Alligator mississippiensis: one gene and its partners. The protein of the gene in region 1 interacts with the protein of each later gene in a pairwise test. Links are inferred from orthologs where the notes say so. Each region holds a gene or a part of one and is shown in the gene's direction. Other genes may lie near its edges.

What was found.
Region 2: the proteins of TRIM32 (region 1) and RABAC1 interact in binary tests that used the Homo sapiens proteins (3 or more experiments, as listed by UniProt). The two-hybrid records come from large-scale screens. The link is inferred for Alligator mississippiensis from reciprocal best matches to the Homo sapiens genes TRIM32 and RABAC1.
Region 3: the proteins of TRIM32 (region 1) and UBE2V1 interact in binary tests that used the Homo sapiens proteins (3 or more experiments, as listed by UniProt). The link is inferred for Alligator mississippiensis from reciprocal best matches to the Homo sapiens genes TRIM32 and UBE2V1.
Region 4: the proteins of TRIM32 (region 1) and ABI2 interact in binary tests that used the Homo sapiens proteins (3 or more experiments, as listed by UniProt). The link is inferred for Alligator mississippiensis from reciprocal best matches to the Homo sapiens genes TRIM32 and ABI2.

What each region holds. Positions count from the first base shown.
Region 1 is NC_081835.1:54,504,828-54,512,075, forward strand, and holds the start of TRIM32 (E3 ubiquitin-protein ligase TRIM32), read left to right. Parts: upstream 1-4,240; 5' UTR 4,241-4,340; intron 4,341-4,470; exon of another isoform or gene 4,471-4,564; intron 4,565-5,671; exon of another isoform or gene 5,672-5,871; intron 5,872-7,238; 5' UTR 7,239-7,248. UniProt on the Homo sapiens protein: E3 ubiquitin ligase that plays a role in various biological processes including neural stem cell differentiation, innate immunity, inflammatory resonse and autophagy.
Region 2 is NC_081838.1:29,452,194-29,459,751, forward strand, and holds RABAC1 (prenylated Rab acceptor protein 1), read left to right. Parts: upstream 1-4,544; 5' UTR 4,545-4,559; coding exon 4,560-4,669; intron 4,670-5,070; coding exon 5,071-5,178; intron 5,179-5,433; coding exon 5,434-5,661; intron 5,662-6,063; coding exon 6,064-6,161; intron 6,162-6,416; coding exon 6,417-6,518; intron 6,519-6,824; coding exon 6,825-6,913; 3' UTR 6,914-7,106; downstream 7,107-7,558. Other genes in the region: cornifelin homolog, read left to right, coding at 3,147-3,288, 3,432-3,568, 4,185-4,274. UniProt on the Homo sapiens protein: General Rab protein regulator required for vesicle formation from the Golgi complex. May control vesicle docking and fusion by mediating the action of Rab GTPases to the SNARE complexes.
Region 3 is NC_081832.1:13,255,353-13,262,270, forward strand, and holds the start of UBE2V1 (ubiquitin-conjugating enzyme E2 variant 1), read left to right. Parts: upstream 1-3,914; 5' UTR 3,915-3,996; coding exon 3,997-4,018; intron 4,019-6,918. UniProt on the Homo sapiens protein: Has no ubiquitin ligase activity on its own. The UBE2V1-UBE2N heterodimer catalyzes the synthesis of non-canonical poly-ubiquitin chains that are linked through Lys-63.
Region 4 is NC_081827.1:172,083,193-172,090,959, forward strand, and holds the start of ABI2 (abl interactor 2), read left to right. Parts: upstream 1-4,754; 5' UTR 4,755-4,923; coding exon 4,924-5,040; intron 5,041-7,767. UniProt on the Homo sapiens protein: Regulator of actin cytoskeleton dynamics underlying cell motility and adhesion. Functions as a component of the WAVE complex, which activates actin nucleating machinery Arp2/3 to drive lamellipodia formation.

The sequences.
Region 1 (7,248 bases):
AATGATGCTTCAAGGGCTCATCTCATGGGTGTGCAGCTCAAGGACCACTCTCTTTATCCTGGAAGGTCAATATTTCACCCATTCCTCCCCAACACGCATGCATACGTGTACAATAGATTTTCCTTAGCATGCTCACAGTTCATTGCCATCAAATTTTGCCCGCTTGCATCACTGTAAATTCACAAAGATCTTGCCAAGTCTCGTTCAGACCTTCAACACCACCTCAGACAAGGACTTCTGGCTACCACTAATTAGGCAGAAATGGGGGGTGGGGCAGGAGGAGGAGGTCATGTTAATGACTGATGTGGGACCAAACATACCAGACAGACATGACCAAAGACAATGCCATCTCTCTGGGGAACGCGCATCCCCGAGGGTGCTGGTACTCTATTCAGTAGATGTCCGCAGCATTTTACTGTCATCAGGGAATGGAGATGGAAGCTAGTAAGGACGCAATGGATTTCATTTCCCCTTGTGACTCAACTCAGGGCTTTTCTCTGCTCCCTAGAGAAGTGCACTGACTGGCTACACTGCTGAGCTCCATTATTTTATGATAACTCCCCCAATCAGAGGATGGTGCCGCAGATTCTGGTTCAGTCTTTGGCTTCGGAGCACAAATCTGAGCACAATCCATGATCAGAGGTAGGTTTTTAGATCCTTGTGGCTGCATACTCACAAAGAAGAGAGCCAGTCTGTATGTCTCCATTAATAATCAAATGGTTAAGAGTCAGAAAATCTGGCTCCTATATCCATCTCTTCTATAGAGTGACTGCACAGTCATACTCAAGCCACAAAAATCATGGTATGCCTCAGTTCCCCATCTGTAAAATGGGGACCCTGTTAATGTAATATAGCAGATATATTGCTTATATGTTACTAGATACCATTAGAACCTCTCCACTGAGCCTCAAAGGTCCTGAATTACTAACTTATAAAGGAGATGAGGAGAGGCTGAGGGAACTGGACTTATTTAGTTTGGAGCAGAGAAGACGGGGTGGGGTAGCAACCTTCAACTACCTGAACCAGGTTCCAAAGAGGATGGAGATGGACTGTTTTCAGTGGTGGCACATAATAGAACAAGGAACAATGGTCTCAAGATGCAACAAGGGAAGTTTAGGTAAGATATTAGGAAGAACTTTCTCACTAGGAGGGTAGTAAAACACTGGAACAGGTTACCCAGAGACATGGTGGAAACTCCATCTTTGACAGTTTTAAATACCTAGGCAGACAAAGATTTGGCTGGGATGATCTAGTTGGGGCTGGTCCTGCTTTGAGCAGAGGGTTGGATTAGATGTGACCTCCTGAAGTCTCTTCAAACCCTAATTTTCTATGATTTTATGATTCTCCATTAATTCAAGAACAAAAATATATGTTACTGGAATAGAGGGACTTGAATATTTGCTAGAACAATAATTCTGAACCAGGATTATGCCATCCTTTTAAGGATACCGCACAATATTAGTACTGTTTGGCGTGCAAACACCTATACGATTCACAACATAAACCTAGATGTTTCAAATAGAAACCCATAGTGTCAAAAACATGTCTGACCTGTTGTGGTCCTTCTGAGTTCTTTGCAGCAGGAGACCTACTCTATTTGTTTCTGTAGTAAAAACAGATAAGCAAAAGCTAAGAGCTGGCATTTTGGGGGTGGGGGTGGGCCTTGAGTCTAAAATAGTTTGAGAACCCAGTGTGCTAAGGTCATGGGCTTCTGATCAGCTTTCTTTATTTGCAGGGTTTTTGACAGCAGCCCAAATATTCATTATTAGAAACTCTGAATATAAGGGGAGCCAGTCAGTTTGGGGTCTTCTAGTATCACAGCAATGGCAGCACTGTATACTTAACATGCATTGCTTAAAGATTTATCAGTGCCATGGTATTTGGCAGCCGCCAGACTGACAAGCCCCTATAATTTTCAAGTCAAGTCTGCTATTAGAGGCCTTACAAATGGAGGGGGGCTAGTTGGTTTTGGGGTTGCTAAAACCGTGGCACCAATAACACTGTAAGCAAAGCTTAGTAAGTACATACGTACCCTGTGCTGTCAGGGCTACAGTGCCAACAGTTCAGAAATTGACCAGCTTCCCGAATTTCCAAGGTTTTTCTCCTCATATTTCGAGGCTTCTGTTACAGGGGGAGTCAGCCTTGTTTTTGGCAGGCAAGCCACAAATTAGCTCTGCATCCTCCCAAGTCCCACTCTGATCCCTTTCCCCTACCTGATCTGTTCTTCTGCTTTTTGCTCTATGCTCCCTGACCAACCTGTTGCTCTGCTTTTTGCTCCCTGCTCTGTGCTCCCTGCCTGATCTGATGCTCTGCTTTCTGCTCCCAGCCCTATCTGCTGCTGTGCTACCTGTCCCCTCCCCAGTCTGCCACAGGGCACACACACAGATGCTGCCTGTCCCACACGTGGCACCTATGGTGCAGGTTGGCCACCCCTGTTCTATTAGATGCTTTGAAAATAAAGGGAGATAGCAGCCACGAAACAGATTAGTCCTGCTCATTTCCGAAGCTCTAATGGCATCTCTTTGACAGCAGCTTCCCGTTCCCTGTTTCTGGCAGTTAAATCAAGGCCAATTAGTTACTAGGTAAAGAACTACCATTACAGTCAACATGCAATTATCCAAGTACAATGAAGTTATAAAGTAGATAGCAGAGCTGAAATATGCTATGCACTTAAGCAGTGTATGCACTTAACCAACATGGTAAATTAAAATGCAGCAATACTAGATGATACAATGCGTGGGCAATATAAAAGTAAGCTAATTATACACTTCCCAATATTATATAAGTGAAATACATTGCATCTATAAAGCAGTCTGAGATCCTTGGATGGAAGGTGTGATGCATCTTAGAAATATAGGAACGTAACTGGAGGGCGCCTCCTTTTTTGTCGGTAGGTGAGGAATCCCCCTGAGGTCACCACCTCAGTTGCTCACGTACAACTATAGGGAACAGTATCCAATATACCAAGAACAGCTTGTCTCATGATCAGGTCCTATCCATGTCAAATCCTACAAGCAAAGAAGGGCAGGCTGGGATGCAAACCCCTGCTTCCTCTTCTCTACAATGGGGGTTGGTATTAGAGCAACTAAATGGGTTGCTGGCCTCCAAGAAGGGAAGCAGGCCTACTCGCAAATGCAGGCAAGACCTGGCTCTTCCTAAGCCCCAGCCTCATGATGCTGCCTAAACCACCCTTTATGCACATCTCTGCAAAAAAGGACCTGGGGGTTACAGTGGACAATAAGCTGCATATGAACCAACAGCGTGCCCCAGTTTGGGGGGTTTTTTAAGGAAAATTTGTTGTGTTCCAAGCCAAATCCATGAGTCATTCAAGAACCGAATGTGGCCCTGCTACCGGCAAACATCCTCCACCCCCTGGGGCTTCAGATGCTTCTAAATCCTTTGGTGGGCATCCTACATGCAGGCCCAAGCCCAGAGGCTTGGGGTTTGGATGACTCCGAGTTTTGCTTGCCCTCAGCCATACGGCTGCAGAAGCAAGCTAGGGAGGAGACTCCGACTTCCATAAAGTGGGTGTAACACCAAGATCTTCCCACTGGAAATGAAAGTGGGAGGTTACCTACACATTACTTCTGCGGATACTACCGTGTGCCACAAAAGCGACTAGGAAAACCCCCATAGGGGTCCTGGTATTTCCCCTGCCGGGTAAGTATATAGTACGAAGTATGCATGATATTAATCCAAAGCCAAGGCCTAGTTGCCGAGAAGGCTAACGGCCCACTGGGCTGCACGAGCACCAGCGTTGCCAGCGGGTTGATTCTTCCCCTCGATTCAGCACTGGCGAGGCCACATCTGGAGTGCTGTGTCCAGTTTTGGGCCACTGCTATGAAAAGGACACGCACAAATTAGGGAAGAGCCCTGCGAAGGGCAACCAAAACTGGTTCAGGGGGGCTGGGCGGATGTGACAGATGAGCCAAGGGGGCTGGGCTGATGTAGTCTGCAGAGGGGGACTGAATGGCAGCTTCAACGCCCTCCAGACAGCTCGAAACCTCGGCGAAACCCTTGGCTCCTGCGAGTAAGGTCACAGCCACGACCGCCTCGGGAGACCGCAGAGGATGGAGCCGGGCTGCTCTCCACCCAGCCATGCTCTCGAGCTGCAGCAAGGGTGGAGGCTGGGTACCAGGAAAACCAGGGTGAGGAGCATCGGAGCAGCTTCCCCGGGCACGTTTAAGACAAAGCCGGGCTGCGAGCAGACAGGCGGCCTTAGGGAGGGGCCTGCAGCATCCCCGGGCCGGACTACAGCTCCCAGCCTGCTGCGGGCGGACGGGCGGGCGGTGCTCGCCGGGCAGCCTGGGAGCGGCGGCGGCGGCCGGAGGAGCGGGCAGGTAGGCGGCAGGGCCGGGCCAGGCCGGGCCGGGCCGGGGAGGGGCCGCGGATGCACCCACCTCGGGGCAGGGAGGAGCAGCGCCCGGGCGGCGCCGGCTGTCCGCCCTGCAGCGCTGCGCCCGCCCGCCCGCGGCCCGCGGGGACACAGCGCGTCCCGGCCGGGCGGGCGGGCGGGCGGCACCAGCCCGGGGGGCCTGAAGCCTCCGAGAAACCTGGGGCTCCTGTGAGTAAGGGCAAGGCTGGGAGACCCGCAGGCCTTCCTGAAACCCAGGAGCTCCCCTGCCTCTTTCTGCCTCTCTTTCTCTTTCTTTTTCCCCATCTCTATCTCTTTCTCTCCATCTCTCTTTCTCTATCTTTTGCTTTTTCTCCATCTCTCTCTCTCTCCATCTCTCTCTCTCTCTCTCTCTCTCTCTCTCTCTCTCTATCTGTTATTGAAAGGCCGCTGTTTCCTTCTGCCTGTTGGAAATCTGACCCGCTTTAAAAGGAAAAGCTGCTTATCCCTAACAAAAGCATGCCCCCTTTCAAGGCGGTCAGTAGCCCTGTGTGGCATGTCAAGCATCCTTTTTTATCCCTCCTAAGCAAAAGCTGTTGGCATGTTTTCCTACAGACCTAGATCAGTGGGTCTCAACCTCCTTAGACCCAGCCCTGCTTAGACTGAAAGCAGTCCCCAGAAAAAGCCAGCTTTTCATTTTTGCTCGTTTGATTACCCACACACCCACACAATCACACCGCCTTTTTCCTATTGCATGCATGCACACACAATAATACAGCATTTTTCCTACTGCATGCGTGCACACACACGTGCGCATGCACACACAATAATACAGCATTTTTCCTATATTGCATGCATGCACACACACACAAATTTTACATTTTTCCTATTGCACGCACACATGTGCACACATGCACAATTATACATTTTTCCTGTTGCACGCACGCATGTGCACACATGCACAATAATACATTTTTCCTATTGCATGCATGCACACCTGCACGCGCACACAAAATAATACAGCATTTTTCCTCTTGCAGAGAACTCAGAAAGACTACCACAAGGATCGGTGTTTTTAATAGGATGGATTTCTATTTGAAGTAGCTGGGTTTGTCTGGTGAATCGTGTTTGCATACCTAATAGGGCTAATATTGCATAGCACCTTGCAGTACCCTTGGGACGATCTCAAGACACCCTGATTTGAAATCACTAACCTAGATAGTGGGTTTTGTTTTACACTCTGGGTTTCTTGCTTTTAGCATTTTTCAGTGCCATTGTTCACCCCTTGAGGGAGTGTTTTTGGCCTACTTTTCAGCATTCTCTCTTTTGGTCCCACAGCCTCCTACACATGCTAAAGATAAAGGCAACTCTCCTGTTTCAGTGCTGGACACCTGTCACTTCCCAGGGGCTGTGTTAAGTCCGCAGTGCTGCTAATCCAAGGAGCTAAGGAGCAGATCTCAGTTGGTAGTTCAGCGCAACTCCACTACAGGATCGATTCAGTCCCTGGGAACGAGGGCTGCACAGAACAGCAAACTCTGGTTGGTTGAAAGCAGATAAATGAATGTATGCTTCACCCTCCGTGAGCACAAAGTGCTTCTCTCTACTATAAATGTCATCTTTCAGTTGAGCAAGCGGTCTCCTGAAATGTACCAAACCTTTCTGTCTAAAATGCTCCCAAGACTGAAGCAGGCTCAGCAGGGAGGTAAAAAATGCTGAGAGCAAGCAACCCCGACTCAGAGAACAGCTGAGAGTTCACAGTTCTGTACAGGTCTTGCAGCACTGTTCTTCATCTGAAGAACCCCAAAAAAACAACCCTCGGAGATTTCTAACTCCCCTCACCCCAACCCCTCAACCTCTTTTAATGGCAAAGCAAAGCAACAGCAAAGATATGGAAACGGAGTCTACTGAATAATAGCTTAATGATGTGAACCCTTTTGAATGGGGCTGCTTTAGTGAGAGCTGCTAGAATCCTTTCACAGTAGGGAGTGATGTGAAGATACAGGAAACCTGGATAAGCAATGGCATTAGACTGAACCAAAATGGGATGGATGCTACCAGATTGTTAAATTAAATTAAATGAGCTACATTTTAAAACCAAGTCTGAGAATGAATACTGAACACTCACATTCACATATTTTTATTGGACCAGTTATTAACGCTTTCACTGGTGTAGTGAAAGTGGTTTTCCCAGTGTCTTGGGGTACAGAAGCAGGAATGAAGAGATGAACGAAATGCATTAGATTAAATCTGAACAGCATACTTTCAAATGGGCTAAAACTCTATAAACCAGCTTCTGTCACATCACTTACACTGGAATTTATCTTTCTTCAATGCATATGAAACTTGCAGCTGATCATAGTTATCTAGAAAGATAAAACAATCCTATTCACTTTACCCATGTCTGATGCCACACACGAATCTAGATCTCTAGGGTAGACATGCTAGTATCCTAAGGCAGCCAGGATGTGCTCCTCATCGCCAAACTTTTAACGTGCAATATCTGATGATCTCACAGGTCCCTTCCAGCCCCTAAAGTCTATGAAATCTTAATGCTTGGTGTACTTGCCCAGGATTTTCTTACATTATATAAACTTGAAGGCACTCTGAGGACAGAATTCAGTCATCAGTATCTATTGTTGCCCTTGCACTTATTTCAGGTTTGCTTATACATTATATTTTGCAAGTAGATTATTCATTGTATTGGAAAAGGCAAGTTAGCATTGGAATTCGCCCAGTGTGAGACCAGCTGAGATTAATCTGCCCCTTTAGCATGTGGAAGGACCAACTGGATTTCTTCCTTTTTTTTTTTGCCAGAGCTGGCTAATAAATCAGAAATATATTGCATGTACATAGAGCTGCTGGTGGAGAGAAAATAAATCACTTTTTACTTTTTCTTTTTGGGCAGGATCAGAGCA
Region 2 (7,558 bases), on another chromosome or scaffold:
CCTGGGTTTTCTGGGAGAGGAGAGGGGGATGGGGTTCTGAGTGGGGGGGGAGCGGGAAGCCTGGGTTTTCTGGGACAGGAGTGGGGTTCACTGTGGAGGATGTGGGGTCTGGTGGGTTGCAGCAGTAGGGAGCTGGGATCCCAGACTCCTGGGTTTTTTCTCCAGCTCTGAGTGAGGGAAACAAGGGACTGGTGGGAGCAGGACATGAGGGAGGGGGAAACTGGGAGGTCCTGGGAGTTACTGGGTCCCCAAAGCCCACCCCACACCCCTCCTGCCCACATCAGCCTTTCCCCATCCAGTCCAGCCCCCCTCGCCTCCCAAATAACATCGCTGGATACCCCAGGAGGCCAGACCTCCTGCCAAGTTCAGACCCCCGGAGCTATGGGGGGATACAGGGGCCAGAAGGACCAGCAATACCTGGAGTCAGCAGCGTAGCCAGGAGGCCGAGGATGAGTAGGATGTGCATGGTGCTGTACGTGGGCACCGGTGCCCAGGGGGTTTTATACTTTGGGGCTGGGTGGGGCACGCAGCTCTCACCAAACCTAATCCCCCGGGATCAATTCCTGCCGCACCTGGCGCCAGCTCTCCTGGCCCCAGTGCGTCGTTTCTGGCAGGCCTCCCCGCCCCAGCCCAAACCCCATGGCCCTCCCAGAGCTCCCCCACGGGCTCCCAGCCCCACCCTGCTCTCACCCCCTGAGACCCCACTCCCCTCCTCTCCCCTCCCAGGGCTGGAGACAATCCGAGGGTCCAAGTCCCCCCTGCCAGCAGATCTGATCCCCTCTCCTGCCAGGGCAGGTCCCAAGCAGAGTAGAAATCCAGGAACACCTAGTATTCATTACTTAATTAAGAGGCTCAGACCTCCCTGAGCTGGGACTGGAGGCCTCTTGATCAAGGCAGAGGCAGCCTAAAGGAGGGGCTAACAGCCCAGCTGGATACCCACTGGCACCGAAGCCAACCCTTAAGAGGCCTGGGGCCCTTGAGGCCCTTAACAAAGCCAGACCTAAGGAGGCATGGGGCCCAGCCCAAGCCAGCCCAGCTGCCCTAAGGCAGCCAGTCCTAATGAGGCGTGGACAGCCTGAGCTAGCTCAGATTCTGAGGGCTGGGGTTTCCCCAAGGGGCTCGTTTGCATCCCAGCAGCTCGTTAATTCATTCGCTGACCAATTGTGCTCCCTAAGAGCTAGCCTAGGAAGCCTGAGGCCACAGGTCAAAGCCACGCCGGACATACCGTGTGGCCCCCAGCCTGGCTTCCTTACCCGTGCGGCTGGCACCCTACCCCACTCCCCTCCAGAGCTGGGGGAACCCAGGCGAGGGTCTCACTAGGGCCTAGGGTACTGAACACAGGAAGTGGGCAGGGGCTGCGGGGGAGGGGCTAAATCCAGAACCAATCAGGAACCCTGATGGGAAATTTGGGGTCCACCCCCAAATGACAGGAGCACCTCTCAGCCCCAGGGCCACCAGGGACCCACTGACAAGCTGGACCCCCATCTCATCTAGCCCCCCACCTGGGCAGACCCACAAAGAGGTGTGGCCACCATCTTAAAGGCCCAGACACTCAAGTGGAGGAGGGTGCTGGGCTCTCTCCAGGGCTGGGAGGTGCAGCGCCTGGGGGGTGAGAGCAGGGCTGGGGGCTCCGACTCCTGCCTTCTCTCTCCAGCTCTGGGAGGGAAAGGAGGGGAGTCTGGGGAGCGGAGGCAGGGAGCCCCGGTGCCCAAGTCCTATTCCTGAAAGAGGGGTAGGAAGCGCTGCCAGGGGCCTGTTGTTCTTTAATGGCCTGAAATCCATTATGGACTTAACTAACTGTGCAATTAGAGGGCGAGTGGGGCCCTGCTGCCCTCTGCTGGAGACCCCAGAGCCCAGTTCTACCCAGCCGTGCCCCACAGCCCCCCACCCCAGAGCCAGCTGCCCCCAGTGCTGGTCTACCTGGAGCTGGGAGAGAACCAGGGCATCCTGGCCTCCTCCCCCCAGGCAGCATGGGAACCCAGGCCCCCCCGTCCCCCCCACACACGCACGCACCCAGTACCTCACTCCCAACCCACAGCCCCCTGCCCCCCCAACCTGACTCCCCCCCCACTCCTGACCTACAGTCCCCTGGACCCAGGCCTTGCACTGCTCCAATCGCCTCCCCAGGCTTGCACTTCTCCCACAGAACCAGGCATCTCAGCAGGGGGGATCCTGGCATTATGGGGCATGGGAAGGAAGAGGGGTGGGCAGGCAGACGGATGAATAGACAGCTGAATGGATGGACAGACGGATAGAGTTAGACAGACAACAGGCAGGTGGAAACCCCTAGGCGCCCAAGCCTCTCCCAGAGCTGGAGAGAACCCAGGCGGCCGAGGTGGCGCCCAGGGAGGCCAGCCCTGACTGCGACACCACCCCTCCCCGAATGGGGAAGGAACACAGGTGCCCGGGCTCCCAGCCCCCTGCTCTCACCCCCAGACCCTACTGCCCTCCCAGAGAACCCAGGCATCCTGGATGATGGGCTTCCTTTGACGGTGCAGCCCCAGTGCCCCTCACTCCTGACCTGCTGCCCCCCACTCCTGCAAGTGCTCCTCACTCCTGACCAGCAGCCCCCCACCCCGGCACGTTCCCTGGGCAAAGTCCAGCCGGGGCGGGGAGCGGAGCCACCCACTCAAATATTGACCCTCGTGGGGCCTCGCCCTGCCCCGCCCGCCCCCACCCCAAACACACACAGGGCCCAGGGAGAGAACTCAGGCATCCAGACTCCCAGCCCCCCCTGCTCTCACCACCCCTCCCCTGCCCGCTCCCACGCCCCAGGGCTGATAGAGTCTGCGAGCCCCCACCCCCCTGCATCCAGGCACAAGGGACTGGACCAGGACCAGCGCAGGAGCCAAGGACACAGGTGGTGTTGGGGAGTGCCGATGCCCCTCATGCCCAACCCGCGGCCCCCTGCCCTCCAACCCTGCCAGTGACCCTCACTCCTGACCCACAGGCCCCTTTCCCCCCCAGCCCTGCTGGTGCCCCTCACTCCCGACCCACAGTCCCCTGGCTCTCCACTCCCAAGCCGCAGCCCCCTGCCCACCCAGCCCTGCTGGTGCCCTTCACTCCCGACCCTCAGCTCCCTGCCCCACAGATACCTGGCTGGGGGGGGTTAGGGGTCTCTGCTTTAACCTCCCCTCCCCCCCCAGACCACCATGTCCTACCAGACGGAGATCATTGTAGACTCACAGCCGGGGCCGCTGGGCCCTGGGGCAGTTTTCAGCGTGGGGGCGCTGCCGGGGGGGGCCTGGAGCTCCGAGCTCTGCGACTGCTGCTCTGACGTGGGCACCTGTGAGTAGGGGGGTGGCTCTGGGGGTTTGGGGGGGGTCTCAGGTGCCCTAGGGGAATGGGGTCCCCTAGGGGCACCTCTGGAGGGGGGTGTCTCTGGGTTGGATATCCAAGGCAGGGTTCCCAGAGGTGTGCCCCACTCCCAGGTCTGTGTGGTGCGCTGGTGCCCTGCATCTTGGCCTCCCGGGTCTCGGAGCGCTTCGGCCAGACCTGCCTGCTGCCCTGCTTGCCCGGGGCCCTGGTGGCCCTGCGGACCGGCATCCGTGAGCGCTACCGCATCGAGGTGGGTGTGGGACAGGGGGGCTGCGGGTTGGGAGTGAGGGGCACCGGGGGGAATTGGTGGGGGTGCGGGTCAGGAGTGAAGGACACTGTGGGGAGGGGATTGAGGGGCACCAGAGGGAGTGGAAGGGGCTGCAGGTTGGGAATGAGGGGCACCAGACAAGGGTGAAGGGTTGCAGGTCAGGAGTGAGGGGCACCAAACAGAGGGCTGTGAGTTGGGAGTGAGGGGCACCGGGGGTGTAGTGGGGGGCTGCAGGTCAGGAGTGGGGGGCAGCGGGGGTGTAGGGGGGCTGCAGGTCAGGAGTGGGGGGCAGCGGGGGTGTAGGGGGGCTGCAGGTCAGGAGTGGGGGGCAGCGGGGGTGTAGGGGGGCTGCAGGTCGGGAGTGGGGGGCAGCGGGGGTGTAGGGGGGCTGCAGGTCAGGAGTGGGGGGCAGCGGGGGTGTAGGGGGGCTGCAGGTCAGGAGTGGGGGGCAGCGGGGGTGTAGGGGGGCTGCAGGTTGGGCGGGAGGGGCAGCGGGGATGTAGGGGGGCTGCAGGTCGGGAGTGGGGGGCAGTGGGGGTGAAGGGGGGGGGGCTGCAGGTCTGGCGTGAGGGGCACCAGCTTCCCTCTGCCCCCCCAGGGCTCTGTGTGCGACGATTGGCTGGTGATGGTTTGCTGCCTGCCCTGCGGCCTGTGCCAGCTTTCCCGGGAGCAAGACGCCCGGCAGTGACGGGGGACGGTCATTTGCACAGATTTGCATGCATGCAAATGAGCTCACGCAAACGACCCTACCCCAGCTCCCCGCTGACACCTCAATAAAGAGCTGATTGGAGCCGCGCTGTGGACGGAGCCTTATTTCTCCCCGTTTCAAAGTGGCATCTGTTTGCATATATGCAAATCAATCTGTTAAAGGAGCCCCGCCCCAGGCTCAGAAGGGGTGTGTGTGGGAGGGGCATGTCCCATCCCCACGTTCCAGGAAGGGGGGCGCTGGAGGAGCCGGACTCTATTTCCCAGCATGCTTCGCGCCCCTCGCCTCTGGCTCCCGGCATACCCCGCGCCCCGCCCCCCCCGCAGCGTCGGTTACCCGTTGCCACGCCGACAGCCGCGCTCCGGCTCGGGACGCAGGTGAGGGGCGGGCGGGCGGGCGGGCGGCGGGGACCCGTTACCATGGCGACCCGGGATGCAGGGACCGCGCATCCCTGCTGGGGGGCGGGGGGGGACACACCGGGATCGGGGCCGGCCCCGCCCTGCACGGGCACGGATCGGGCCCCCTTGGGCACTCCGGATCGGGCCCTGCCCCCCGGAACCACCCCGGAGCAGGGCCCTATCGGCGACCCCCCTACGGGCCGTGTCCGCCCCTGCCCCCGGCACTGCGCACGCACCGGGCCGCGTCGGGTCCCGGAAGCTCTAAAAGGGGCCGAGTCCCCGCGGGACCTGCGCCCCCCCCCGCCCGGATCGGGCCCCAGGGGCTTGTAAAGGGGCTCAGCCCCGCCCCGGAGCTCCCAGCCCCCCGCTCTCCCGCCCAGGCCCGGCTCGGGCCCCGCCGCCATGGCCGGGAAGGGCCCCGCCAGCCCGGAGCAGCTCTTCCACCCGGGCAGCGACAGCGACAGCGACCCGCCCGCGCCCGGGGCCAGGTGCGGGGACCCCGGGGCTCGGGGGGGTGGGGGCGGAGGTGGTGGCGGGGTGCGGGGCCCGGGGCTGAAAGGGGGGGAAGATGCGGGACCCCGGGGGGGGGCGGGGCTCCAGTGGCGGTGTGTGGAGCGGGGGGATGCGGGGACGCGGGGGGGTGCGGGCCCCCGGGAGGGGGGGTGCGGGGATTCGGGGGGGGGTGCGGGCCCCCGGGAGAGGGGGGCGGGTCCCCCGCAGGGTCTCACCCCCGTCCCCCGCAGGTCCCCGCCGCCCCCCGGGCCGGGCGCGGCGCTGGGCGCGGGGCTGGCGCGGGCGCGGGGCTGGCTGGGCCGGTGCGGGGGTGTCCGGCCGTGGCCGCGGCTCCTGGACCCGCGCCGCTTCGCCAAACCGCGGGACGCGGCGGAGCTGGGCCGGCGCGTCACCCGTAACGCGCAGCGTTTCCACGGCAACTACGCGTGCGTGGCCGCCGCCCTGGCGCTCTACTGCCTGTGAGTGGGCGGGGCCGGGGCTCCGCGGGGCGGGGAGGGGGCCCGCTTCTATTGGGGGGCAGGGTCTGAGCCTGGTGGGTTAAGAGACCCATCCTGCAGGGGGCGGGGCCAGGGCCGGATGCATGGGGCGGGGCTCCGATGCTGGGGGTTGGGGTCCTGATGGGGGCAGTGGAAGCTGATCTGCCCCCTCCGGCCCCCGCAATTCTGGGGGGACAAGCCCAGATCCTGGCGGGTGGAGTGGGATTCTGGTGACCTGGGCCCTGAACCTGCCCCCAGGGGTGGGAGCTGAGGAAGCCAGGATGTCTTATGAGCGCTGGCATGGCAGGTGATCAGGGGAGTGGATCGAGGTCACCTGGGAGCTCTGCTCCCCCCCCCCCCACTTACCCTTGTGTCCCCCCCCAGCATCACGTCCCCGCTGCTGGTGGTGGCTCTCGCTGTCTTCCTCGGCGCCTGCTACGTCCTGCACGTCCGAGCCCAGCAGGGGCCACTCGTGGTCCTGGGTGAGGGGGCCCGATCCAGGCCTGATCCTGGGAAGGCAGCAGGGGGAGGGGAGGGGAGCATAGGGCAGGGGCTTGTTCCTCTGGCTGCAGGGGAGAGGGGGCATTGAGCTACCTGGGGAGGGTGGGGATTGGGTCTTTTCCATAGGGCCCGGGCCCAATCCTTGGGCATGGTGGGCTGCCTCTGGTAGTGGGGCTGGTCTGGGGTTAGGGTGGTGCTGGGTACCTCTGACCCTCCCATTTCAACCCCCCTCCCAGGCCGTGAGCTGAGCGCCGGGCAGCAGTATGCAGTGGCCGGAGGTGTCTCCTTCCCCCTCTTCTGGGTGGCGGGGGCTGGATCGGCTGTCTTCTGGGTTCTGGGTGAGTGAGGGAACCTCCCCCCTCCAGCTTGCAGGGCAGGCACTGGGCTGCGGGTTGGCAGTGAGGGGTACCGGCAGGACTGTAGCGGGGTGGGGGACTTTGGATTGGGAGTGAGAGGCAACAGCAGGGCTGGGATGGGCAAGGGCTGTGGGTTGGGAGTGGGGGACACCGGCAGGGCTGTAGAGAGCGGCCAGGGGGATGCGGGTGGAGAGTGAGGGGCACCAGCTGGGCAGGTGGGGTGGGGTACTTACGGCCCCCCCCCCCCCCCCATCCTCCTGTCTCCCGTGCCTATCCCTGACCCCGCAGGCGCGACCCTGGTGGTCATTGGCTCTCACGCCGCCTTCTACGAGACCGAGCCGGCCGAGGGCGAAGAGCTGCAGATGGAGCCTGTGTGAATTCCACTCCCAGCGGCCCCTTCTGCCCCCCAAGTCTGCCCCCCTATGTTGGCCTCTCCTCTGTCCCACCAGCTCTTTGGAGCCCCCTTCGCTGCAGCTCTGCCCCCGCTCTCCCAGTAGGAGAACCCAGGTATCTGGGCCTCCCCACTCCACGGGAGGCCTCTTGATGCTAATAAAGCCCTTTTGAGTGCGAGCTCGTGTCCTGTGTGGAAGGGATGGGGCAGTGTTGAAGCACACACGCCTTGTGCACATGGCACGCCCCGCTCACCTCCCAGCACCATGTGTCTATGATGTGTTTGGAGTTGGAGCAGGGGCTGGGAGCCTGGACACCTGGGTCATTGTCCAATTCTGCTCCCAGGAACTGAGATCTGGGATCTGAGAACTGGATAGCTGGGTTCTCTCCAGCTATGGGCTGGGATTGGGGGCTGGGGGGTGAGCAACAGGGGCTGGGAGCCCAGACGCCTGGGTGCTCTCCAGCTGCGGAAGGAGGCTGGGGGGATGACTTGGAGTAGGTGGGAGCTAGGAGCCAAGATACCTGGGTTCTCTCCAGCTAGGGGAGGGGGGTGGGGGGGATTGCTTAGGGCAGGTGGGGGCTGGGAGCCCGGACACCTGGGTTCTTCCCTGCTCTGGGGTCTAGGGGATTAG
Region 3 (6,918 bases), on another chromosome or scaffold:
AAGAAAATACATAGACTCAACACAACTTATTTTAAGAAATTAGACCATGGTGAAGCAATTTAAGAATTTAAGCCTGTTTTAGTTTTTGCTTATACTGTAGTGTTTTAGCTTGCATATCACTGTCCTCCACTGCCTAACATTTACTATGTTCACAGGTGGTAATGGCACTTTGGGGAGGGGGGAAAGTTCAAAGTATGATGCAGAACAGTGAATCCAGGCTACATGTTAAATGGAATTCAGTTGTGGCAATTCTGATTTTGATTAAAATCCTGGATTCATGCAACTAACTCTTACATTCACATATGCCAGTATGTATAGAATCTGTGACTAGAATAGAGTGAATTGGATATTAAAATAATTCAGATGATCAGTCATGTGAGTAAGGGGGAGAGATTGTTCCAGGGGCTATATAGGCTGTTCTTAACACTTTTTACTGACTCTTACTTACAATTGTGGTGTTAGCGATGGGATGATTGCACTATGCATTTTCTTGGATGTGGGGAGAAAGGAAAGGTTTACTTCCATCTAACCTTGGATGACTGGAAAAGTCTCCTTGTAAGTTAGAGACAGTTTTTTGCATTCAAATCTCCTGGTAACTAAAAGCAACATCCTCCATTGTATTAGGCTTCCTTGTGCTAAAGTGTGTGTAGTCAAGGTGCAAAAATGGCTGAACTTGCCTAGAGAAGATGATTCTTGTTGTTTGGCAATCGCTTATCTGGCTGATCTGTACCACTGTTCTTAAGTGTGTGGTTTTTACCAGCACTCTTACTTTTACCAAAGGAAAGTATTTCAGGTCCTTCCTACCTTTGTACCAGAGGTGCAGTATCCATGTTTAGGGGCTTCTAATGAAATGCTAGACTACTGAAGCATTTGAAGAAATAAATGGTCATCCTGTCACACTGCAAGTAAAAGGGATAAGCTGGGGCCCAGGCCAATGCAGGGTGGTGGTCGGTGGAAGCTTGCAGCTTTAAAGAAGCTCCATTCAGGCCTCCTTCCCTCCCAACTTACCTTTTCAGCCTCCTGGGGAACATCTGTCCCCATCAGCTCCATTTCCCACCTTGAATCTTTCAAGACTTTGTTCCCCCCTCAGTCTGGCCTATCCAGCCCAGCCCGGCTTATTAGTCTCTCCTGGCATCTTCCCTCCTCATTTCATTGCCAGCAAGATACTGGGACAGGAAGATAAGTTGGACCCAGCAGCTCTACACAGGATAAGGAAGGCCGTTAAAGAGTGAAGAGGAGAGGCAGGGCTCTGAGGTCATCCAAGTCCTCTGCTGTGGTGTTGGGGGAGGTGAGAAGGAGATCCCAAGTGCACTTTTATGCTTAATACTGGAAGTAAGAAGATGGAGAACAGTTCTTCAGGCCCTGTCCAACCACTGCCACAGGCTGAAAGCAGCTGCTCTAGAAGTGACAAGTGCTGCCTCAGCATGAGTCTCAAGTGCAGCAAGGACTCCCATACCCCCTGCTGACCCTTGGCTGGTTTCAGGTTGCTGGGACTCTTGCAACTAAGTATAAGTTGAAGTAGCCTTCAAGCTGTTCTCCACAGTGCAAGGCAAAGGACCATAAAGGGGGTGTCTACATGTTCATTAATGTACAACCAAGTACTAATTTAATGCGCAGTAGCACCGGCACATGCATTTTTAATGACCCTACTGTGCAGTAGTCTAATAGTACTGAGCATAGTACTCAGTCTAGTAGTACAGCATATTAACACTGTTTTTGCTGTGACACACGACTGCACAGTATTATTAGGCTACTGTGCATTTAACATTTTGTGTAGATGTGCCCAAAGAGCAGTAACAGGCCCAGACCAGTTCAGGGAAAGGCTTCAGACCCAGTTTACAGGACTTCCTGGCTTACAGCCTGTACATTTTTACATCTGGCCCTTGCTGCTGAAGTGACCTTGGGCCCATGAAAGTTCACACTGTACATGTCTGATTAAGTCAATCTATACAGTGCAACTCTATCCTGCCTTCTGTCTGACTTCAGATTAACTCCACTAACTACCTTTCCAAATCCTTCAGACATACTAGATCTGTGTGCTTCCTTCAGTGTGTGTGGGTCCCTCCTGGGAGATGCATCTCTGTACAGCAGAGCAGAGCTCCCTTGGGGTGCATTTGTGTGCACAACACATTTTACCAAAACCATCTTCTGGGCATGGAGAAATATCAGCTGGAGAAGGTCAAGTACTGCAGGAGTGCATAAGGAAGCAGAGTCTGTAATGGAAACTGCAACCTTAAGTAGGAGCTTCATGCTGTTATACAGACATGGTGCATTCACTAGTGATGTTATTAGCTGTTCCCTCTCCATTCTCCTATGGATCAGCAATTACTGCCCTCCAGGACCGCTGTGCTTCCTCTCCCATGTTTCCCACAGGTACTGGCAGGGGGCAAAGGTCTGTCCATCCTGCAGAGAACTCTTTATCTGTGAGCACTCATAGCAGCCCTGCTCCTGCAAGAAGCATCGGAGCCCAGTGTGAATACTGAAACCGTTGTGTCCATCCATCTTGCTCCCTGTCAGCAGCTAGTCTGCCCATGTCTTCAGACGGAGTTTCACAGGTTGGCACCCACAGGCTCCCTCGACTCCTTCAGGGGGAGAGTGGGCACTGGCTGGTGTGCTCTGTTCGGTGTCCACTTCCAATGCCCTAGTGATTAATGACCTCGCTCCTGTTCCTGTTTTCGTTTTTATTGTCCCAAGAACTTAGTTGATGTGTTCCCAGTGGCCTCCTTCTCAAGGGAGACTTATAGTGTCCTGTGATGGGCCCAGTCCCATGATCATGGCATGGAAACAGCTCCTGCAGCACGGCTCTGACCCCCCATTCAGGTTGATTTGCCCCCCCTGTAGCTGGAGCACGTCCCCCATGGAGCACTTTGCCACTGCCTCTGTTCAGCCCCTGCCTGCAGGAGTCGCTGCTGCTGCTTGGGTGTCCTCTGCCAACAGCCACTGGCCAAACGTGAAGGATGCCCAGCATGGCCAGGTCCTTAAATATGAAATTATCCTATTGGAAGCTCAAAATTATAGCGTTTGCTAGAAAACTATTGTACACTGAAAAACTATGCAAACGAGTCTTCTTTACCTTGTATTGCTCACTGTAAGTCACCACCGAGCGAGAACTGGGCCCAAGTTGAAGCCTTTCTTTATTTCGAAGCAAGCGGTCATGAGAAAGCACTGACAGCAAACCCAGGAGCTGGATAAGACTCCCTGAGAGTGACTCAGGTTTTGCATACACTGCATTGATTGGCAGCCCCAAAAACTATCCACACTTTGAATACTTCTACTGTTAGTGGTCATCAGGGATCCTGGTTAAAAAACAAACACCCAGTTTTCAAATTTAAAAAACATAACCCAAAATCCACATTTTTCCATGACTAAAATGAAATGCCTATCTATCTATCTAGGTGTTTCATTTTATATAAAGGAAAAAAAAGAAAAAGAGCGAGTAAAAAAGGAAAAGGAAAAAGAGTAGAAAAGGAAAAAGTTAAAAAGAAAAAGTAAAAAAGAAAAAGGAAAGTAAAAAATGAAAAAGGGAGTAAAAAAGGAAAAGAGTAAAAAAGTAAAGGACAAAGTCAAAAAAAGGAAAATGAAAAAATAAAAAAATACAAAGGAAAGTTTTTTTTTTAAAAAGTAGTGTTTCATTTTAATCACGGAAAAATTTGGATTTTGGGTTCGTTTTTAAATCCGAAAATTGGGGATCCTTTCTATCAGAAAAGCAGGCTCCCTGTTGCTCGCACGTCGCACAAGGGTTGCAATAATCGCGCACCTGACAACCCCGAGGACGCTGCTCTCCGGCCCGCCCGCACGGCTTATTCCCCCTCCCACGCTCCGTGCAACGCAAAAACGCCCTTCCCGAGGCCTGCCGGCCAGCCCCGCCCAGCTTCCGGACTGCGACTTTCTGCGCCCGCCCGCCCGCGGCTCCTCCCGTCTCGTCCCATCAAGCCGCAGTTCGCGCGTGGCGGTGACGCGGCGGAAGGGGCGGGCTCGGAGCGGCAGCGGCGCAAGATGGCGGCCACCACGGGCTCGGGTGAGCGGGGCCGGGCAGCCGGCCGGGACCGGGGCGGGGGGCGCCGCGCGGGGCGGGGGTTCAGGCCGCGCTCCCTACTCCTACTCCTGCCCCTGCCCGCGGGGTTGTGGCGGGGCAGCGCAGCCCGGGCCCGCGTCCGTGTCTTGCCGGTGCGGGGCCTCAACACCCGCCGGCTGGGCCCGCCCGCTGCCGCGTCCCCCGGACCCGGACCCGGCCCCGGGCCCACTCGCTGCCCTGGGCCGACACCGCTGCGCCTGGAGCCGGCCCACCCGAGGGCCCCGAGCTGGGGTTTGCCGCCTGAGGGTTTGTCCCCCCACCCCACTCCTGGCCTGGCTGGGCCCTGCCGGCGCCCGGGTCCTGATGCCGCCGAAACCCCGGCGCAGCGTCGGCCGGCGATGCCCACAGGAGAGATTCGCCGCCTTGCCCAGCGCCGCCCGCTTCGCTTTTAAGCAGAGTAACGGATAGAAGTGAAACAGAGTCAAATGAGTTTCACTTTTGGGTACTAATTTCTGCTGTGCCTGGGTTGCAGTTTTGGCCTCCAGGATTTGTTTCAAGTGGTTCCCACCAAATTTTAAAACGAAGCAGGTCCTTCAAGGGGAATCCCTCGTCTTGACCGAGGAAACGAAGAGGATCTTCATTTTTCTCTTGAGGCCGTAGCTATTTCCGTAGATGGTCTTCTAACAAGAGCGATCACTCAAAAGAGAAGGATTTTAAAAATGTGCGAGCAGTGCAGTAGCAGTTGTTACGAGGCCTGTATTTTGCAGATCTGTGTTTAAAAGTCCTCGTAATCCCAATACCGCTGGTTTTTCTGCGCTTGTGCGGTTTGTATTCTAGGAGACCCGTGTTGAAACGCCCAGCACAGGATGTGAAATTGAGACAGGGCCTTATCGGCTTCTTGTGTCACTCCAGCAGGCCGCCGTATTTCTCCAATAATCTTTTGCAGCTTCTGACTTTTCTTCCATTTACATTTGGCTGGAAGAACAAGGCATGTGTCTTTCTTTTTAAGTCAGTGCAGCTCCATGAATTCGTTGTTTGGGTGCGGATGGAGAGGTCATGTAAGATTATTGAGACATTTTTAAACTCGCCTCGATACAGGGCTTCCATAGGGTATTTCAGCCGCACCCCTGGTAGATCTGACTCGATCTATCTCAACTCCCCGTTGAGAGATGCTGTGAGTGTGTAGTTAAGTGCAGAAAATCGGCCGGGCGGCCCCTTTTGTGTCACGTCCCGTCGTTTTTCATGTGATTCTAAAAGTGCTGCTGCTTTATCGGCTCTGCAGAATTGGAAGTGGGAAGTTTGTACTTCAGGTAACGTACAGCTAGGGAAGAACAAATAGGTGTGGCAACATACATACTTATTCAGGCATCTGGTGACAGACATATTTAACCTGCTGCTGGTAGGGTTTTGTTTGTACCTTTCCTTTTGGCAAAAGCTTTGAAAATCAGTGTATAACTTTTCAACACAGTTACGTGAACGCTGAGCCTTTGTAGACAGCTCTGAATTTGGATTTGAAAAATCCAAGTGAGCAACTCCATTTAAATGCAACTGTGAGCTGGTCCAGCTGGTAACTGATGCGGCTCTTTATTCTTGGTGATAAAGCCCACCCTGTGACTACTGATTAGGTTATTAGACTGTCCTTTTCTGCTAAAAGGAACAGTTATGTCCCGTCCCTTTCAGTAATATTACAGTGGCACTGCAGTGCAGTTTGTATTGTACTTTTTTTGATGCTAAAAGTTTTGGATGTGGTGTTGTCTATTGGGTACAGGGACAAGGGAAAGATCAATCCCTTGATATTTATTTATAGTCACCAATTCATGGTGGGCTTTGGGCAAGGAGTGTAATGATCTTTCTTATTTATAAACAAGTTTTACAAATACTTGTTTTACAAAAACCTTTAAATGTGTGCCTATTTGTTTGTAAAACATGTGGATCTGTTTGCTTCTCTTGGAAGTAGCTGAATTCCAAAGGTATATGTCCAATCTCATTAAAAATTTCTAGTTGTAGAACAAATGAAAAGGCAGCATACGTTAGCCCTGTATTTCTATAGAAGGCTGCAAGGGTGATTTTGGAAATGAACAAGAAAGCCATACACCATCTAACAAATGGGTTGAAATGCTTAAAAATTAGAATAATAAAACACCTGGAAAGAAATTATAGGAGAGTCTAGCAGCATGACTTCTGGAAAGGAAAACCGCACTACTCTGAGAATTCATTGAACATACAAATAAAGGGGAACCAGGTGACTTGAAGACTCTCAAAAGGCCATGACTGGGTTTCTTGAGGGGTGAAAGCTATGTCTGTGCTATAGACAGCGCGGTATAGGGATTCTTGAGCTAGCTAGTGTATTGGAAGTAGTATGGTTGTGGCAACAGGGAGCTCTGCGTGGGTTAATATTCCTGTTAAACAGCAAGGTACAGTAGCCTGGCAGAGCTTCATGCTGCCATGTCAGCTAATGTACTTTGTTGCTCAGTGAGAAAATTAGCCTGTGCAGAGCTCCAGGCTGCCCCAGCTATAGTTTGATGGATTCTTAGATTCATAGATTGTTAGGGGCTGGAAGGGATCATTGGGTCCAGTTCCCCTGCACTAAGCAGGAAATGACAACTGGGGACAAGTGACCCCAGCAAGGTGACTGTCCAGTCTCCTTTTGAAGATTTCCAGGGTAGGTAGCTGGCTCTGGTATTGTCTTCAGTGCAGACAACCCTAAGACAGGTGTCAGCAACCTTATAGGGTTAATGGTCCAAGTTAGTGCAGCTCTCTGCGAGTGAGGTGCTGCCCCACTTGCCAGTGCTGTGCTCCCAAACTATCAGCTGTGCTCCGAGCCCTCCAGCTGCTCCCTCTACCACTGAATTGCCACCAGGGTTCCCTGTCACAGTATTGCCATCAAAGGCCATAAGTCAGTG
Region 4 (7,767 bases), on another chromosome or scaffold:
GATCATGGGTGACCATTGCCATGCCACGAGGGCTCCTCATATTTAAATTAAAATCCACAAATCATTCAGAGAGGGAACCCTAAAAAAATCTACCTTGTTTGGATAGTAGGGTACTAACTATGAGCTGGTGAGTGCCCAGATGCTAAAGCAATAGGGGCTACATGTGCACACTTAAGAAAGAGCCTTATATTATACCCTAAAAATCATAAGACAGATCATCTGGCAGATCATGGGGAGTAGGATCCACAGATGGGAGATCTCAGAGATCTCTCTGCCAAGATCAGTCAGAGAACAGAGACCAAATGAACACGCACAGATTTTACCTAAAGGCCAATAATGACAACATCCTAAAGGTTAGGTGGAAGATGATGCGACTACAATCTCCCTCTCATCAAAATGTGCTGCTGCTAGTCCAAATTAGAAACTGTAACAAGGTCTGTGGAAATATCCCCCTAAATGTCTTGGCAACAAGCTCATCTAGCAGAAGGATCATGTAGATATTGTACCTGCAATAATTTCTCCAATAATATGACTAATTTAAAAGAAAAGAATGAATGAAGAACCTTGGAGCTCCTCACCACCATCTTGGCTTGGAGCATGTCCAAAGAGCCCCCAGAGTATGCGAATAACTACTGGAGCTGCAGGAGGAGGAGATGCAACATCTGGGGTTGAGGCTATGGACTAAGAGGGAGCATAATTAATATGGTCCTGAGGGAGTGGCAAATATGGGTCTGGGATAACTGGAACTGGGTTTGTTAGAAGCTGGAAAATCCACACCTTCAGAGACAGCACTTTAAACACAATTTTGTGGTTTGATTTCAGTGGGGTCTTATAGTCAGAGCTCCTCAAGTTGGGACCAGTATCACTCTGTAAATCTATGAGGGTGGGGTTCCTGTGTAATAGTCAAATGCACAGTGGAAGTGTGTCTGGCTTAAACAAAAATCAGAAATCAGAATATAAAACATGACTTAATCTTTTAAAAAAAGCTCATGTTTTGTGGGTATGACTCATGATTTTTGAACTTTTGGGATTGCCAATACTGAGAATGTACATAACTAAAATATTCAGTCCTGGTAGTTGTAGAATATTTATGACTGGCTGTTCCATTGTCTTCACACATCTATATGGCATTATGCTGGTCATAGCTATGAAATGTAAATTAGTCTTGTTCATCTTAACTGTCTGTAGAAAAATTAAAACATGCTAACTAATTTGTGTTGCAAATTTTAACCCACATAACACCTTGTACACATTTTAAAACACTTTAACAAACATGGGGGTCTAATCATTGCTCACATGGGAAAGCCCATGGAGGCTGAATGGAAGAAATATCCAGGAATTATTTTGTGTAGTGATTCTACCCCCCCCCCCCTTCAAATATTCCCTTAGGGGAAGGGACTGAACAGGATTTTCCCAGAAGTTGTGGCTCTGGCTTGCAAATCCTGTGATTTCTTTCAGATCCCAAAATAACCTAGGAAATCAGTTTAAGATCAGGCCAACCCAGATGGAGGCCCCCATGTTAGCTCCAAATCCCTGGCAACAACATGTCCCAGAACAACAAAGGCAGTGCAACAACAAAAGTATTGCAGAGTTGGGGGCTCTCCAGCAGATGACTACCTCAATCAATTCCTTGCAATATAAAGACTGTGGAAAAAATAGAAAGTCATACAGCCTGGAGCCATGTTATACTTGAAGAAGAAGCCTTGTGAGGCTCATGAGGGTGATGCACGTGCCAGTTTATCATTTACCCTTGTGTAGATACCCAGATCTGAATAAAATTGTTTTGGGAAAGTTGAAATATTTTTACTGAGACAATTGATTACATTTTCTATCTAGGCAGGTGAGCAAGAGCTCTGCACAGAAGACTCAAAACACCACCTTCATATGCTGATTAAAGGAGAACAATCACAAATTAAATCTTTAAACACTCTTGTGTGTAGATATCATCTCAATGTTAAAGATATTAAATGACTTGCCAGTGGTCACAAAAAGCCAGAGGCAAAGTCAGAGTAAATAAGACTTATCTCTCTTGATCCCGAGTGTGCTTTAGTTACTAAATTTTCCTTCTTTTCTGACCATGGTGGATTATACATTTGTCTCTGTTGATTTTGAAAAGCATACTCATTTGTGGCCGAGAATTTACCCTTCCTTTAACCCCTGTACAATGGCTGCCTTTTATGTGGGGTCCCTACAAAAGAAACATTTTGTTCTTCCTTTGCTGATCAGTAGAAGTGAGCAGCAGTTACTTAAAAGGCACAAGGACCTGACACTGGTGCACATTGTTGTCAGTGACAAAGCTCCTATTGATAACAGTAGCAGCATGATTGGACCTCTCTCTGGAAACATGCTGCTAGCATGACACTGGCATACTGCTGCTAAATAAATTAGTTTAAAGTGACCAAAAAGTCGAAGTTCATGGAATGGAAATAATGGTAAAAATTACTGGCAAACAAATACTTTTTTTCCAAGTTATTCAAGGAACTTAAGACACAAACTTGATGGAAAAAATAAGCCTCGACAGAGACATGCTTAAAAAGCTTGCCATAATGTTTAGCATATGAGTTGCTCCACTTACCCTGTACTTCTTTAGTACATTGCTGAACTGAGGATGAAAAAAAACCTTGCTGTTAGCATTTAGAAAGAATTTCCTATAGCTCTGAAACTCTCAGGAATTGGCAACATATAATAACGTCTAGTACAGTAATTCTCAACCGTCTTAGGTCCATGGCAGCTCTTGGAAAAATGCTAGCTCTTAGCTTTCGCTCATTTTTTTTTTGACTGCAGGAAAATAATAATGGATTGCCTCTGTTGCAAGGAACTCAGACCACAACAGACAGAATGTTTTTGATGTTGTGGATTCCTATCTGACATCTCTGGGTTTATTTGGTAGTTGAGCAAACACCTACACGTGATTCACAATGCTAACATTGTACCCTTACAAAGATCTCATGGTAGCCCAGAGTGGCGTGGCACGTGGATTGAGAATCACTGGTTTAGTACTTTTCCTGGATTTGTTGATAACTCACTATATTTTAATATTAGTGTATAATTCTTACAATTTTTCATATTGTATGTTGTCCTAGATACAGTGTTTGCATTTGTTTCCTTTGTGGACATTAACTGGGTTCAAGAGTCATCAACTTTCACCAGCTGAGTAGCAGAGTGTATAAAAGAGGGGAGACGAAAGGAAAAATCACTGTACTGTGGAGGAGCAATGGCCTCAAGCTTCAGCAGGGGAAATTTAGGTTGGAGATTAGAAGGAACTTTTCTGACAATGAGGGTGATTGAGCATTGGAGCAGGCTACCTAGAGAAGCTGGGGAATCTTCATTCACTTGACTGAGCTGGTTTAGTCAGGGGCCATCCTGCCTTAAGCAGGGTCTGGACTAGGTGTCCTCTTGAAGTCCCTTGCAGCTCTTTCTTTTGCAGCAGGCCCAGGCCAATGCTGCTGTCTGCTAGGACTTTAATGAGATCCAGTTTTTCCCAATGAAGTATTAAAATAAGATGTAAATGAATTATTTTTTAATACTGTCATCAAATAGTAATATTTGGGCCAACTAACATTTGGACTGACAGTAATATTCAAATGCCAATTATAATTACCTTGCAAATGCAGCCTATTTTGCATCTTATACCCCATGCGTGAGGAGCTCAAGCTTTACTTACTGCGTCAAACCAACTACATGAAGCTTTCCTTGAAAGAAATTCAAGGTCTGAGTAAAACACTGCAGAACAAATGATCATAATGATGGGACAGCAAGCAACAGTGCACCTATTCTTCTTACCCAATACGGTGCTACCAAGTGTCTGAGGCGTGCATGGGCCCCAGGAATGTGTGAAATTTGTGCTGGGAGAGGGTAGAAACTGCAAAGAAAGTCTTTAAGTTTTAAGCCACTGGTTCTCAACTGACCTGCCCTCCACTGGACATGAGCCCCCCGCCACAACTTTAGTGAATCAAGTGGCACCCACTGAAACCCAAATCTCTCTGCTGTAGGGCAGACCCCTTGCAGAGGGGCTGCCAGTGCTGTGGAGAGGTCTCTGGGGCAGGAGCCTGAGCCTGAATTCATCTCCTGAGCTCATCCCCTCATGCGTGCCAGTGCCCTTCAAGGGATCTGGCGGCATCCCAGGGTGCCCTGGCAGGGTCTCTGCCTGGCCGCTTCACCCCGGCTGGGAAATCGCTGCTGTCGCCGGTGGCAACGCGCACAGAGCACGAGCTGAAGCGAGCTCCGGCTCGAGTCCGCTCGTGCTCTGGGGCTCTGAGGCAGCTGGTTTCGTGGGTCTGACGCAAAAGCGGGTCGCAAGAGGCCATGAAAGGGCCACGAACAAGATCAACGCACTTTAACTGCGGGTTCTCCTTTAAAGGAGAAAAACGTGGGAAACCGCCGCGTTACGCCCCCCCCAACAGCTCCAGGCTGCCAGCGAGCAGCTACTCGGGACCCCCCGCCCTGCACACTGCGGGGCAGCGGGCGGAGACTGCCCGCCCATGTTCACGACTGGGGCACTACTCGGGGGGCGCCCCCCTCCGTCCCTCGCCTTCAGGATGAGCGCCTTGCCAGCCGGCTGCAACGGCCGCACCGCGGAATCGCCCGCCCGTTCCCGGCGCCTCCCCTGATTTCGTCGCCCGCCGGCAGCAGCGAGAGGGAAGCGTTTCCCCGGCGTACCGCCGGATGTGACCCCCGGGCAGGCGGGCTGCACCGGAAACGCGCGGGAGGCGGGGCGGGGCCGGGCCCGGCGCTTGCGCAGTGGTGCCGGCGGCGGCGGCTCCCGCTGGGCTGCGCTGCGCCCCAGCCGCGGCGGTGGGTGTTCCTCCGCCCCGCGCCCGCCCTCCCTCCCTCCCCGCCCGGCCGGCCGGCCGGGTCTCGGCGGCGGCGGTGCGCTGAGCTGCGCTGCGCGCGGGCGAGGAGGAGGAGGAGGAGGATGTGAAGATGGCGGAGCTGCAGATGCTGCTGGAGGAGGAGATCCCGGGGGGGCGCCGGGCCCTGTTCGACAGCTACACCAACCTGGAGCGGGTGGCCGAGTACTGCGAGACCAACTACATCCAGGTGCGCGGCCGCCAGCGGCGGTCGGGGCCGGGGCGGGTCCCCCCGAGCCGCCGCCGCTTCCCGCCCGGGCTCCTTTGCCGGGGCCGCTGCCTGCGCTGCGAGGGGGCGGCTGTGCACGGGGCCGGCCGCCTCGTGGCTCTGGGTCTCTCCCCGCGGCCCCCGGCCACTGCAGCTGCTGGAGGAGGGCGAGTCGCGACAGGAGAGGGGCCGGAGGAGGCTCGGCTGTCCTGGAGGAGGGGAAGGGAGGGGAGCTGAGCCCCTCGCCACCCCGTCCGCACAGAAGAGATCCCGGCCTCAGCCTGTGCCCTCGTCGTTTTTCAGGCACCAAATTGCTCTGGGAGGGTGAGGCGGTGCAGGAGTGCCCCCTTCCCCAGAGAGCTGCGTGTGAGGGCGTGTTGCCGCTGCTGGCATTCACAGTGCATTGCCTCCCTCCAGATGATTGAAACATGTTTGGGTATATGTATGGGCAGCTCTTCATTCATTTTTATTTGAAACCTTGGACAGCGAGCCTTCAAGGATTGGGGAGTGTGGGAAGTCACAGGACGGCAGGGATGTAATTCGAGGGTTGTGCTCTGTGCGTGCCGTGTCTGACTGGCGTGCTAAAGACATCATCTTCATATTGAAGCATTTTGGTAACCTCTTGTACCATGACAGCATTTGTATTTTAGAGCCAGTGGAGGACTCTTTGCTGCACCAGACACTGTGCAAGCGCAGTACCAGGAGATGGTCCCTGCTCCGTAGAAATGACCGCGTAAGAAAAAAGAAGAGGGATTCAGATGCAGGAGTATTAGGGGACAGTGAGACGATATTAGTCAGTCTTGTAGGCAGTAGTTTTGGCATACCAGCAACCTAAGTTTAGTTGAATTTCTTTCTTGGGTGTCATGGTAAAGAAAGACTTGTAAAGATTGATTTGAAGGAGAATGATGAAGTGGCTTTGTAGATGTTTATTGGGGAGTGCTTCCTAACTATGAGGGGCAGTATCAAGGGAAGTGGGAAGGCGCTTGATAGTTTAACAAGCAGGCATTGGAAGCAGATGTTAATTGGCCAGTTGGAGGCAGGAATCAGCCTCTTGGTACTGAATGAGAGGGAGAGGGAAAGAAGCACGAGGAGTTCTGCTGCATGGTTGAAGGGCCTCAGAATCCGAGTGTCTTGTGAATGTGCTTGTAACATGCTCTGAGCTTATCATTGTGGCATCATTTGGGCTGGGGATTCAAAGGTGGCCAGATGTGAAAGTAGCCACATCACTGCCTGTAGAACAAGGGCCGGCACTGTTTTTGGGCAGAGTGTGAAAAACACCCACAGCCTCAACCGCACAGCAGGAGCAGGCAGCAGACGAGCCCTGAGGGGCCCAGTTTTTGTTGTGGCAGTGCAGCCCTAGCCCCTTCCCGAAGGTGTGAATGCCAAGCAGAATGCCTTCGCGTGCTCTGGCATGTGTGGGGGGGGTGTCTACCCTTGCTGTAGAAGGTTGGGTGGGGTGGCACCTTAGGGCCTAACTATTCAGAGAAACATGAGCTTTTGTCAGGAGCAGCCTGCTGTGTTGGGTAGTATGAATCTGTCTTCCATAGCCAACAAGGCACAAGTTGATGCATCTTAACCATGCTAGTCTACTGGGCTATTAAGGCTTGGGGAGGACCTTTGACTTGACCTTGATTATAAAATCCAAGTTCCTGATTTCATAAAACTTAAAACTGAAAATTAACCATGTGGTTAACCATCATGCAAACTAGATTTGATTACATTGAGGCCAAGAGGTGCTGCAGTGCTCTTGGAGATAGAGGTGGGGAATCTAGGCGAAATAGTCCTGCTATTGGTATCCAACACATTTGTAACTAACCTTTCCTTTGGTACATGATATACTAATATAAGAGCCTAAAAGCTTCTGATGGCAAATAATCAGATAATACACTGCGAAGATAAGGTATTTAATTATGTAACAAAAATGCGAGGAGAGAAAGTGTGAAAGAGCTGGTTTCTGCCCAGAACACTGGCTTTTTTGTCATTTTGTCTTGAAAAGCTGTTCTCCTCCTTAAATTTCTCTCATCAGCTGAGTCTCTTCACTGTTAGTCCAGCCAGTCAACTAGTATGATGACATGCTTTTCAGGAGATGCTAACTTATTTAAACAGAAAAATAAATTGGTACCTGCTAATAGAAAAATTAAATGTACAGGCCACACTCAATGCAAAGGTTATTTTTAGTAGCTTGCTTAGAGCAAAGATAGACATAAGGTTACCAACAGCAGTTCACCTAAATTTTAAATGCATAACTAGAGATATTAAACTGAGTAATTTTATCCAAGTACAAAAAAGGAGGGGAGAGAGTATTTTTCACCAGATGAATCTTATGCCTTCAATAAAAATAAATGATGGCATGGTTCTGACTTCTACCTTTTTCTTTAAAAAGATAAAATAGAGCATGTGCAAGGATTTTTATAAAGGCTTTGTCTAGAAGAATGTTTGTTAGAACTAACAGGGTATACCAATTGGAGGCAGGAATCTGATGCTGGTTATTTGAAGCCTCATCTGCTCATGCTGTGCAGCCTGTGGCAGTGCAGCCTGAGCTGTGAACTATATACAGTTAATTAAGGGATGATCAAAAGCTTGACTTCTTATATAGGGTCTCCAATATAATTGAAAATACAGTAAAAGCCCTGTTTTCTGGCATGAGTGGGGAATGCGGGGTGCCAGTAATCTGAAAATTCTGGTTACCTGAGGCATGGGGGTTTCTTG